Arabidopsis thaliana: one gene and its partner. The protein of the gene in region 2 interacts with the protein of the main gene of each other region in a biochemical or structural test. Each region holds a gene or a part of one and is shown on either strand. Other genes may lie near its edges.

Region 1 (7,607 bases), on a different chromosome or scaffold from region 2:
CGTTCCAGGTACGGCGGCTTCCATCCACCGAGATTCGGAACTGATGGCCGGAGGATTGGTGGTAGTGAGCTGAACGCCGTTGACATCGACCTCCGTGGATCTCGCCGCTATCCAGCCGAAATCTAACACCGTCTTCCCGATCTCCGCCATTTTAGTATCTGATCTCAGCTTCTGGAATGTTTATGTCGAAAACAGTTGAGAGAGTTGATGAAGAAACTTGTTGGACTGGAAAAACGAAAACGTTTATTGTCTGGATAAGCCTAAATAAGTAAATAGAGTAAATACATTTTTCTCTATCACTTATTATGTCATCAATTATTTAACACTTATTTTTAATGACATTAGATTTTATTTTTTTTGCTCAAATATTTTTTAAATGACATTAGATTTTTTTATTTTTTTTTAGTGTCACTAGATTTGATTGAATTTTGTATTACTTTTATTGATATATTTTAAGAGCTATTGAAAAATCCGAAAGAAATCGATAATGCTATGATCAAATCACTCGATTAACCATTACTGAATATTACTTGTCATTGTACTTTTTTACTTGTTATTGTACTTAAGGTTATGATTCGTTATGATTGTAATTGTATTAATCATTACTTGCAAACTTCAACCATAAGGCTTATTCTCGCTGGTGACAATTCATCTTTGTCAACCAGTGCATTGTCCTACACTTCTACGGCCTTCTCATGCTGTGTTGCTTTTCGAGTCGATGAAGTGAAAAACTCAAAACCAAAAAAAAATGGAAAAAAAAAGAGGGAAGAAAAAGCTGAGGGAAGCTACTAGTAAAAGATTCCGGTAGCCAATATCTTCACAAGAATGGAAACCCGTTCAACTAAAACAACAAAAATAATAAGAAAACAATGATGAAAGAGGTTCGTAGCAAATTTACAAATTCCTTGCAAGAAGAAAAAAAAAAAAAAAAAAAAAGAAGCAAATTGTTGGGTAGTTTTGATTGAGGGGAAATGAGAAAAAGAGGTTGGGGAGGTTGTTTTGCTGTGGGAGTCAAAGACCGAGCAGGAATTGGAAAACATCGCTCAGTGAAATGATACCTTCAACACGTTTGCTCCCTGCTTCCACTATCACCAGCCTCCTTACACCTGTTGTGTTTTATATACACAAACCCAAACCCCAGTTACATCTCATCTGATGTTCCTGTGTCAAGCAACAAAGCTGAAGATTGTATATAGGAGATAGTGTGTACCTGGATTCGCCAACCGCTCCATCACTTTCACAAGAGAGTCTGAGCGCAAGCACATGTGACATCTCTGCCCGTTGAAGATTCCATAAGGCGGGCTCGCATCTTGCCCCAACTGTAGCGCCTGAAAACCCACAAACACATTATCCTCCACTTTATTATAACGTTTCATCTCTTCTTTCATTCTTGTAAAGATGTATGTTCAAATAAATCAGAAACGAGGCAATTTCCATGATAGATAGGCAGGTTACATTTAAGTAAAACTCGTAATTTGATGAGACATGTGATGGATCTTGGTTTCTGATGAGAGGTTTACCTGGTGAACTGTCATGTCATCAAGATGAATCTGTGCGTATGCCTTGTCTTTAGCCAGAGCAGTTATATCACTGGCCAATTACAAATATCATCAGAACACAAGGACGTCAAAGATGGAATGCATAAGACATCATGTCGATTGATGGATAGAGGTTTACCTTCGAGAGTATATGTCAATAAGCGAGTCGTTGTCATCCACTACGGGAATTGAACTGACTTCAGCTGTAATAACCAGGAAACATAAATTAAGCATGACTCATTCATTCATTTCCATCTATGAGGAACCAGGGAAAAGATCACGAGAAATTCTATAAATATATCTGCTTTAAGATTGACAAAAATGTTTCTATGTTTTTAAACCTCGTTAGTTTACTCATGTTGCAGCAATTACATCTGTATAAAAATAATAAAAGTGGTCGTAACATCTAAAGTTGGTTTGTTGGTCTGCATTGACTTGAGTATACCCATGTGTTCAGCTACTTGATTATATTACCATCTAGACAAAATATTTAAAACTGAAAATCTGATTGTAATGTAGAGGTTGATAGTCTGAGTTGCAGATGAGCTTTGAATAAGATGTTGCTGCAACAAGATAAGAAAAAGGATTACCTTGAACTAATAATGCGAGCGCAGAACCCAAAGAGGCGTGAGGTCTCAATGTAGCGAGAGGTTTGCTACTTGATTCTCCGATTCTAGGGACCCACGTACCCAGGGGAATTGAACAAATGGGTTGCTGAAGGATAGGTAAAGAGCTAGACGAATGTCTAAAGTATCTGCATATACCTGGAAGATTATGCTTAATTTAGAGCTTAAGTGTCTGATAAAGGCATAAATTTCGAAAGGAATTATTAACAGGGAAAACTGTGTAAAAAGTTTGGTAAAGTCAATTGCAACTTTAGTTTCTAATTTCCCTCCCTCCTAAAGATCCCATCCCTTCACAGAATTTGGAGAAATGAAGAAGTGGGAAAATTTTGGAAATAGCAGAATCATATGCACGTCATGAATTAAAAAGTGAGAAATGCCAAATTGGCGCGCTTATCAGTGTCTTATTCACAAATGAAGGGACCTTACATTTTAATATGCCTGATAGCGAAGCAAGATGCAGTAACTGCGGATATGAACCATCCTGCAAAGAAGAATATATAACCGGAACAGCTGCCACCTTGTTTTGCAAAATTTTCAGGGCAACGTCTTTCAGATTATCATAGGGTCCAACCTGATAGCCATATATAAAACCATTAATAGCAAGAGAGAAATACTACTAGCTCTTTTCAATATAACATGCAATAGAAAGTTCTAGGATAAGGCTATGTTCAGAGATTACGCAAACAGAAGAAAGTTAGTAGTAACAGCGATACAAATCAACTGTGAAAATCTCACCTGAACAAGTGGCCTAGGATATGGTCTCCCACTTCCATCATATTGCCGGCTAATATGAGCCTTCCCCTCTTTCCAGGCTGCTATTGTGTGCGTCTCAAGCTCTTCCTCTGTCAAGTTTGATCCATGAGTTCCAAGCTGCAATTTTACAAATTTGCTATTATACTCAAGAGTGAAATTTCATACTGAGAAGCTAGTAAAACATTTAAAACTATGTGATTTATGAGATATCCAGACTTCCGTCTTGGAAATTCTAAGAATATACAATAGTAACTCGATGGAATGCTCTAGCAAAGAACAGTTTTAATAGAAGCCAACCTCTCTCAGTATTAGAATGAAGTCTAGTGGACCAAGAACTCCAACAAATTGGCCTTTTCCAAAGTCCCAAAGAGGAGCCAAAGGGATTCCCTGAAAGCATCTGGAATTAGCAAAAACCAGAAAGCCAAACAATCTCGAAGTATAATTAGACGAATGTTGTTCACTTAAGTTTCACTTCCTTCCCTTTCCGGGTCTGGATGCAACAATATTAGAATGTTTATATGACGGTGAGAGACAGAGAGATGAACATCCTAACAAGAACAGAAGCTGACACAAGGGTAATTGGCAAATAAAGTAAACCTGCTCATAGAGTATATGGAATGCTTGCTTCACTGGCAAATTAACATCCAATGCAATAACCTGTAAAATTTCCAATCACCTTAGACAATTTCCGAGTAAGAAGCCAAAGGTTATTCTTAACTGATAATCTATAGGACATGAAGACAGAAATTATCAATGATCAAGCAAAAAGAAAAAGAAACCAAACCTTGCCCGATTCTGGGAGCAGCTCATATGCAGTGCGGGTTGACAATAAAACCGATATGCGGTGACGAGAAAGCTCCAAATCAACCCCCGACATCCTAGGAACAGCTTCCTGGGACGGGTCAGCCTACAATATAATCACCATGTGAAAGCAGTCAGAAACTCAATTTGAATGTAGTCTCAGAGACAATTTAATGGAACTTAAGGAATCCTGCTTTATACATTAAGATAAAATGGTCTAAAATCAATTATACTTGAACTAATGACAAACAGTTAAAAATAATCTGAAGGATACCAACCACGGATCAAAATTAAAGAAACCAAACTGGAAGCAACTCGGGAAACCTGAACCATCAAGCAGCGAGAATAAACACTGCATTTTGGAAAAGGAAAGGTCAGATTCCTTACCGTTCGCAGGAAGACATCATCCACATCCATATTCGACCGGCCCAGTGTCTCTGGGCTAAAACCAGCAGGAACCATATCTGGCCCAGTTATAAATATTGTATTCACTACTCCACCATTTCCGCTTACAAATGGTTGGTGCTCATCGTGCCGCCATTCCCCATCAACAAAAAACTTATACTGCATGAGAATGAAATAACATAAATGTAACATTAGTGGCTTCTTAAGCATCTCACATTGTAATAATTAAAATCTTGTTATATATAGTACATCCAACTGCCAAAATATATGAATCTCTATACACACACTGTAGCCTTTATTAAAAGAAGTGATTTAGGTATCACACAGCATGAAGACCCCAACTTTTGTTATGTGGATGGTGATGTATAAAGTCAAATTTTGATCAATTAGCAAGGAAATTTGCAATTTTCAGCCACAGTCATACAAATATGACAGAGGTATATAAGATTCTCATTGCATAGGTTAAGTATCCAGAGACTAAATGAAGCACAATTATGGACATCGCTAAATCACTACAAGGACATAAATGCTTCTGCAGGGATTAATTAACAAAGAATTTGCCATGATACAGGTCGAGTACAAGATTATTAACCTGATGATATCCTGGCGTCAAGTTGCAAATGACTTGAAAAACAGTAGGGCAGCCCTCGAGCGGTGACATTGGCACATGCTCTGTCCACCTGTTCAAATGCCCATTTCAGAAATCAGTCCATGGACTGCAAAACCCCGATAGATACTATACAGAGCACATACTCTACACAAACCCCGATAAATAGCTTAACTGAAATATAAAGTAAACTATCCTAGTTCAAGCTCAGTCATCTCACCTGGTGAAAGATCCGCTTAGGAAGACTCTTCTACCTCCATAAGGCCACACGAAGCGTGTCGGAGTAAGAAGCTGCCCTGAGGCAGCGCTGTTTCCACGGCTGCTATCCAATGTAGAACCAAACATCCCCTCCCAGTAGTTATATAGTTACAATCCACAGAAACTAATTCCTAAAAACCTTCTGAATCGATTCTTAATGCGTAAAATAATCTCGACTCTTCAGCAGAAGAAACAAAACCCGGTGAAACTTCAAACTTCAACGCTTACACATGCAGAGAGTCCGAATTCAATAACGCTACCATAAATTCCAGCAACCAGTAAACCGAAACCCTAAAAGCCCAAATCACGATCTACAACGAAATTACTGAACTCTTCCCCCAAACCTAGGTAGAGAAATTCCACCAACACGAAACCTTGTAAAAGAGCCCTAAACTCAAAGCACGAACGATCTGGCTACAAAAGCAAAGGTCAACTGATTGACAATACACACCACCTGGAAAACGTAGCTGAAAAATTCCGAGGAAAAGAAGGCAGAGGAAGTCGCGGCTCTGATCTTTAAATTCGGGGAGTAGAGAGACCTCGATGATGATCGGAATTGATTGAAGGGAGGGAGCAAGAATTAGGGATTTGAAAAGTTGGAGAGAACCCTAAATAGAGAGAGTGGAGATGGCATTGTTTGGATCTGGGCAAGGAATGATGTTAATGGTCTTTCAAGGTGAAGAAGAATCTGAGGGCGAAGAAGCGCTGCGTAATGAAAATGTTGTTTTTAATCCATCGACAAAGATATGGTTTTTTTTTTTTTTCTCTTTTTTATTACTGTATACAGTTTTTCCGATAACATTTAAAAAAAAAAAAAAAATTCTACTTTTACATAACTGATTATTCTTCTCTTTTTTCATAATAAATAACTATATGAATTATGCAAATAATAGCATCTAATATATAGTTTTAGTCAACTATCTAATAAATCATTTCCTATATATATAATATATCACATAAATGTTATGAATAAATTAGACGAGGATCCAAGTTATTAAAAATATTTCCACTTTAAAATTGTATCTAGTAAATTCTTTTTTTGGTATTATTTTTTTAAACTCATTTGTCTTTTCTGATGTTAAACAGTACTATAAATCAAACAAAACCAAACTAACATTCAAAAACGTTTCAAAATACACTTTTCTCTTATTCTCTTGTGTTTTGAAGCAGGGTAAATAAATAAAGTAAAAAGAAAAGCCATGTTTTTTTTTTCTCTAATTTTTATTGTGTCAACTCTTATAATTTCTTAAATTAAAGAAAATAAATCATTACATCCCACACCAATTTATTATCGGGTTAAACATAATCCATGAAATTACATTGTACATCTATTCTCGGTAGACATGTAATACAGGGAGACAATCGTGTTGTCTTCCAAGTTGACATTATTTGAGGGAGAGGAGACTTCATGTTTGAACCCTAGGCATGCAATTACATTTTATAGTAGATTTAGCCTTAGAAAGACCTGTAAATTAGGGCTAAAAGCCTAAAACCAAAACACGACCTTGAAGAAAAAAAGAGTTCGGTTTCTAATTAGTTTTATAAACTCTAAATAATCGAAGTGATGTAACTTTTATTTGTTGTGAGTATATATTTTTAAGTTGGATTTGAACTTTCTTATAGACATGACTTTATATAAGTGTATATATCTCGCTCTTACTCTAATGTTGTTTATCTTTTTCCTCAAAACGTATATAAGTCCCCCGGCCCTCTCTTTCAGTACTATTCTATATATACACTTACTCTATCTGTCGGAAAACAGCAAATGAGAAAGACATTTGTAAACAATGGTCATTTTGGCTTGTTGGTTATTGGGCAGCATTCACGGTCGCTGGCTAGTATGGACAATTGGATATATATACTCCTTTAATGGTCATAACTTTCATCTCAAAATCTTGATCGCTATATTTGGGCATTGAAAAACAGGCCAACAAAGTTTTTTTTTTTTATCTCATAAGGGCTCTTTTTAATATTTGGAAAGTCTTCATTTGGTTACATATTGTTAGAACATCTTTGGCTCTCGTCCTAAACATCCGTAACTCCTTCGTCGTAATTCTGGTTATGTATATGATCTTTGGCTCGGGAACTAATTCAAAGAGTTCTTTCTTCTTCTTTTCTTTCAGTTATGGGTTTTGCATCAGATTTCGAGAAGAATTTCTTTAGCCTCCACTGAATACATTTTTCTCTTAGTCTAAACAACTCTCCAATTACATCACATATGCTCCTTCTTTCTTTCTTTTTTTTTTTGATATGAAATCAATCAAAGTGAAAAGCTTAGATTATACAATATAGCATAGCCTAGTTCTTTGTAACCTTGCCCAAAAAGGAATTTAAGGAAACATCAAAGCTGGGAAAAATATTGGGAGACTAACGCGCAAGCAGTTTCATTGATGGTTCTTTCTCTTTCGGGTACAAAAGTCAAAATCTGAGTTTATCATTGATGGTTCTCTTGTAGGCAATTTCTGATGGTTCTCTTTTTCTCCTTCCAAAATAGATAGTCCATAACTCTTTGTCCGTAAGTATAATTTCGATGATTTTTGTTTTTTGTTTTACGAGAACGTTCACGTCACCAGAAGTATAATATCATTGAAATTAGGTTTGGAAGATTACACAGTTTTG
Region 2 (4,193 bases):
GGGTTTCCGATGTGAGCGTCAGAGGAAGGTAGGAGAAGGCATCAATGATACAGAAGATAGGTTATGTGCCAGTGGGCCTACAAACAGGCCCATTAAATGTTTTTCTTGGACTAATGAATGAATACTCATTCAAACACTTCCCTTCTTTCTCTTAATGAAATTTGTTGAACACAAAAAACAGAGAAAGGCAATGTCGTTTTATACATCGGTTTGGTTACTCATCGTCGGTTTGGGTTTTTTATAACGTTTTTGTGTGTGTGTTTATCATTGAATTTTGAATATTATACACTGTGAAAGTGAAATTGTGTTTTTCTCATAATTTAACATCTACAAAGGATAGGTGTGAAATTGTGTTTTTCTCATACACTAACATCTACGAAGGATAGGTGGTGATTTGTTGACGATTAGTCAGAGCATATAGATTAGTCGTTACTCGTTAGTAGACCACCCATATTTGAATTACGACTTGTGGATAATTCAAAGTATGGATTACGATATTCGTAAATGTTATCGTTTGTTAAAAAATCTCATAAATCATATAAAAATGAATTTGTATTCAAATATGGATCGTCAAATGTTCCAAAAATTTCACTATCTTACAAACTAAATTAAACCAAACCACCAATTTAAATTTATATTAAATAATTATACCAGCAGAAATTAAAATTTAATCATCCCAAATGACTCCAAAACTCTCCCAGAAACGTCTTTGCCGCGTCAAGGCTCGGGAAATACGTCGGCTCCATAAATATCTGACTCAGTGAGTCACACGACTCTTGACTCGCCGTCGCGTTCATCTCCGCACTTCCCATCATAGCCGCCACTAACTGCCTATACCCAAAGAAGAAACTCTTCGCCGCCGCTTCCACCGCTTGCATCCCCTGAAGCAAATGAATCTTATCGCACTCTGTCTTCCTCGCGTAAAGCTTCATCGCCGCCTCTTGTAATCTTGGTCCTCCGGTTGGATCTACCTCAACCGCCAAGACCGCCGGTACTTTCTGTCTCAGATCTTTCGACATCTTCATCATCTCCACTAATCCTTTAGATCTGAAACAAAACGCATCGTTTTTACCCGTCGATTTGATCTGTAACTGTTTCTTCAATTTCAAAAAATCTTCCGGATCCATCAACATATGAAGATCTTCAATCTCCGCTAAAATTTTCCAGATCTTCTCCAGCAAGTAAACATCGTTTGAAGCTTTTCCGAATTTCTCTTCTTCGATACTTGAGACGATTCGATTCAGAAGATTTCCAGATGCGTAGATCCACGATTCGAGGATCTGGTGAATGATATAGAGAGTTTGATTCTCGTGATTATCGATATGATCTGCGTATGGATTATCCTTGAGGCTATAGATCTCGTTTGGTCGGCAAATCGCATCGTACCGGAGATTTGGTTTTCCGGCGATGTTTTGTTCACCGAGTCCGAGCGTGTACTTACACCGACTCATCTCGTTATCGATCGTATATAAGATCTTCTTCCCCAAAGCCTCTGATCTCCTCCACGTAGCTAGCTGCGGTAACAAACTCAACGAACTCCGTCCACCGCCGACCGGAGCCTCCGCTGATATACCTTCTTCTTCTTCATCTTCGCAGATCGCTGCTACAAGCTGGATCTGCTTCGTGATGAGAGAATCTAGCCTCCGGTTCCATTCACGGTGGTTGATGTACGGTCTAGTATCAGAACAAACGGCGAAAACTAATCTGAAACTGATCTCCAAAGCTTGAAGAGCTGGTTTGAGAATCGGCTCTGATGTCCATTGAGGAAAATCACGAGATGACCAGAGCTTTCTTAGCTCAGGGAGACGAAGGTAAAGCTCGTAAGCAGAGCAAAGAGCAGGTGCTGAACATGAGATCGGAGATGAAACAGGGACGATTTTGAACGGTGATGGAATAGTTACGTGAAGCTTTGAAGAAAGCTTAGGTGAGTTTGGTAAATCTGATGATACCATCTTCCTCTTCCAATCCATATCAACCATTTTTATTTTTTTAAGGTCTGTGTTTTTTTTGGTGTGTGTGTTTGTGTTTGTGTGTTAAATTTTGAATTTGAGGATGAGTTTAGGATACGAGGAGAGTATATATAGAGAGAAATGTGGATAGAGGATGGGGACGAGAAAAAAGGCGTGTGGAATAATACCGACGCGACTGATTTGAAAGTCAGCGTAGAAACGCGGTCTCCTTTTTAAAAAAAAAAAAAACCAGTACTGTGGATTAATTTCAGGATAATCTTTTTTTCGTTTTTTGGCTTTATATTGCTTTTTGAACTGTTTTCTATGAAAGGTAAATGCCTGATGATTAGTCGAATGTTCAGTAATCTGATTTCTAAGGAAATATCGAATATTTTCTCGTTTTTGGTAAGATATTATCTTTTAATAAAAGTTAAAGTTAAAACACACAGTCATGTTCATAACATGTTAATACATATATAGAAATGTTTTATTTGATGATATATGCGATGTAGTATAACATTTAGGGGTTGATCGATAAGAATATAAAATTTTCTGCAAATACATTTTTGAAAGTCAGTCATGCGTTATGGGTTGTCACTTATGAGCAATATTTACAAGCTGTAGATAGTTTTTGATCGAAGCAAATATATAATAATTTTGATAGTTGTCGATCTACAGCTACAAGTTCAACTAATCATGCACATGGTGTTTTGAATATATATCAACAATCGTAAAACATAACAGGTGTCATGTACCACATAAAACTGAAAGAAAACAATGTTTTAGTTGCAAATATGAAAAACGTCATTTATTTTCTATAATGAATTGAATAGAAAAAGAGAGAAAAATCACGTATTTGTTTATGTATATTTATGTATAAAACGGACAAAATTGTGAAATTTTAGTAGCGTAATGACGGGCAATTAAAGAAACTCAAGAAAGCATAAACTTAAATTCGCAACACTAGAGATTTTAATACATGTTTGATGTTTCCCTACAAAAGTTATAAAAGCTCTATCTATAAGGTCAAACAATTAGGATAATACTTGCAAGTAGGAGCATTATAAGACAAATATACGTTACGATAAAATTATTGCTCAAAATTAAATTTGGATACTAGAAAAGTGTATAGTCCGCAGTTTTCACAAATATAGTGTCCCCTAAATTAGTACTGTATCGTGTTATCAGTATTTGAAACGCGTATATAATAAAAATGACTATTTTTTATTGTAGTGTGGATAAGCATTTAGACGGTGCCGTGTTATGAATTGAAAAAGGAATGGCACATGGAAGTAGGAGGAATATAGATGCGAAGCTTATCCAAAATATGTGAGGAAGGTTGGAGTTTGGTCTCACTTAATCTTCTAATAGTGTTTTACTTGGAAGCTGTCGTTTCCTTTGACTTTGGTTTTTCTTTTTTCTTTTCCAGTTCAATATTCTAATCTCACCGATTTTTTTGTTTATTTATTATATACGATAGATAAATTTTGATTGTAATAAGACTGTTTTGAGATTTCTTCACCAAATCTCTTTTAAGTGCATGAAATATATTTTTTGTGACCAAGACTTTCATGGATGTTTCTGTTAATTTATCGGTACATTGGATATTGAATTTAATTAATACTATCAGTTGGAAACGGTTCGAGTGAAGACAGACCATTTCTTCCATTACATATTAGACATTAGACAAGTAGATTATAACAAAGGACAAATGATTATATAGTTTGAAATACAAATTAGTGGTCTATAATCTTCTTTATGTTAAGAGTTTTCTTTTCAAATAACTACTTATGTTTTAATTGGTATTGTTTACATCTATTTTACGTACGTCACTTGTTTGCACTTTGCACTGATCAAAGCCATCTTTAACAATAACGTTTTTCTACAACCAATTACACCCGCCTAGTAAATTCGAGACACATATTCTCTTTAAAAAGAATAAAATGTTACAACTAGTAAATTCGAGGCATTAGTCTTACCCTAAAACCAACTTTTTATATATGTTAATAAATACACTTTCTTTAGCTATATTGTTTTGGTTACTGAATCATTCCACTATTCATATCATTTAATATACATCCTATACTATTACGTTTTAAAAAAAATATATATATATGAAAAGTATGCAAAGAAGTTTGTAGATTGACGACAAAAAAAAAAAAAAAAAAATGTAGATTGTCTGCTTATTTTCTATTTTCCTTCCTCATTCCTTAACTTTGAATTCAAATAACTAAAATAAGTCAT

Evidence for each region.
Region 1: the proteins of HSPRO2 (region 2) and SNF4 form a complex in vitro, tested with the Arabidopsis thaliana proteins (one study listed by BioGRID).

The regions. Positions count from the first base shown.
Region 1 is NC_003070.9:2,899,138-2,906,744, forward strand, and holds SNF4 (sucrose nonfermenting-like protein), read right to left. Parts: upstream 5,726-7,607; 5' UTR 5,076-5,725; coding exon 4,951-5,075; intron 4,804-4,950; coding exon 4,716-4,803; intron 4,283-4,715; coding exon 4,106-4,282; intron 3,825-4,105; coding exon 3,702-3,824; intron 3,575-3,701; coding exon 3,515-3,574; intron 3,305-3,514; coding exon 3,215-3,304; intron 3,035-3,214; coding exon 2,900-3,034; intron 2,736-2,899; coding exon 2,591-2,735; intron 2,303-2,590; coding exon 2,129-2,302; intron 1,742-2,128; coding exon 1,678-1,741; intron 1,591-1,677; coding exon 1,521-1,590; intron 1,329-1,520; coding exon 1,211-1,328; intron 1,107-1,210; coding exon 1,012-1,106; 3' UTR 639-1,011; downstream 1-638. Other genes in the region: AT1G09010 (glycoside hydrolase family 2 protein), read right to left, coding at 2-150.
Region 2 is NC_003071.7:16,699,978-16,704,170, forward strand, and holds HSPRO2 (ortholog of sugar beet HS1 PRO-1 2), read right to left. Parts: upstream 2,360-4,193; 5' UTR 1,980-2,359; coding exon 672-1,979; 3' UTR 513-671; downstream 1-512. UniProt on the Arabidopsis thaliana protein: Positive regulator of basal resistance.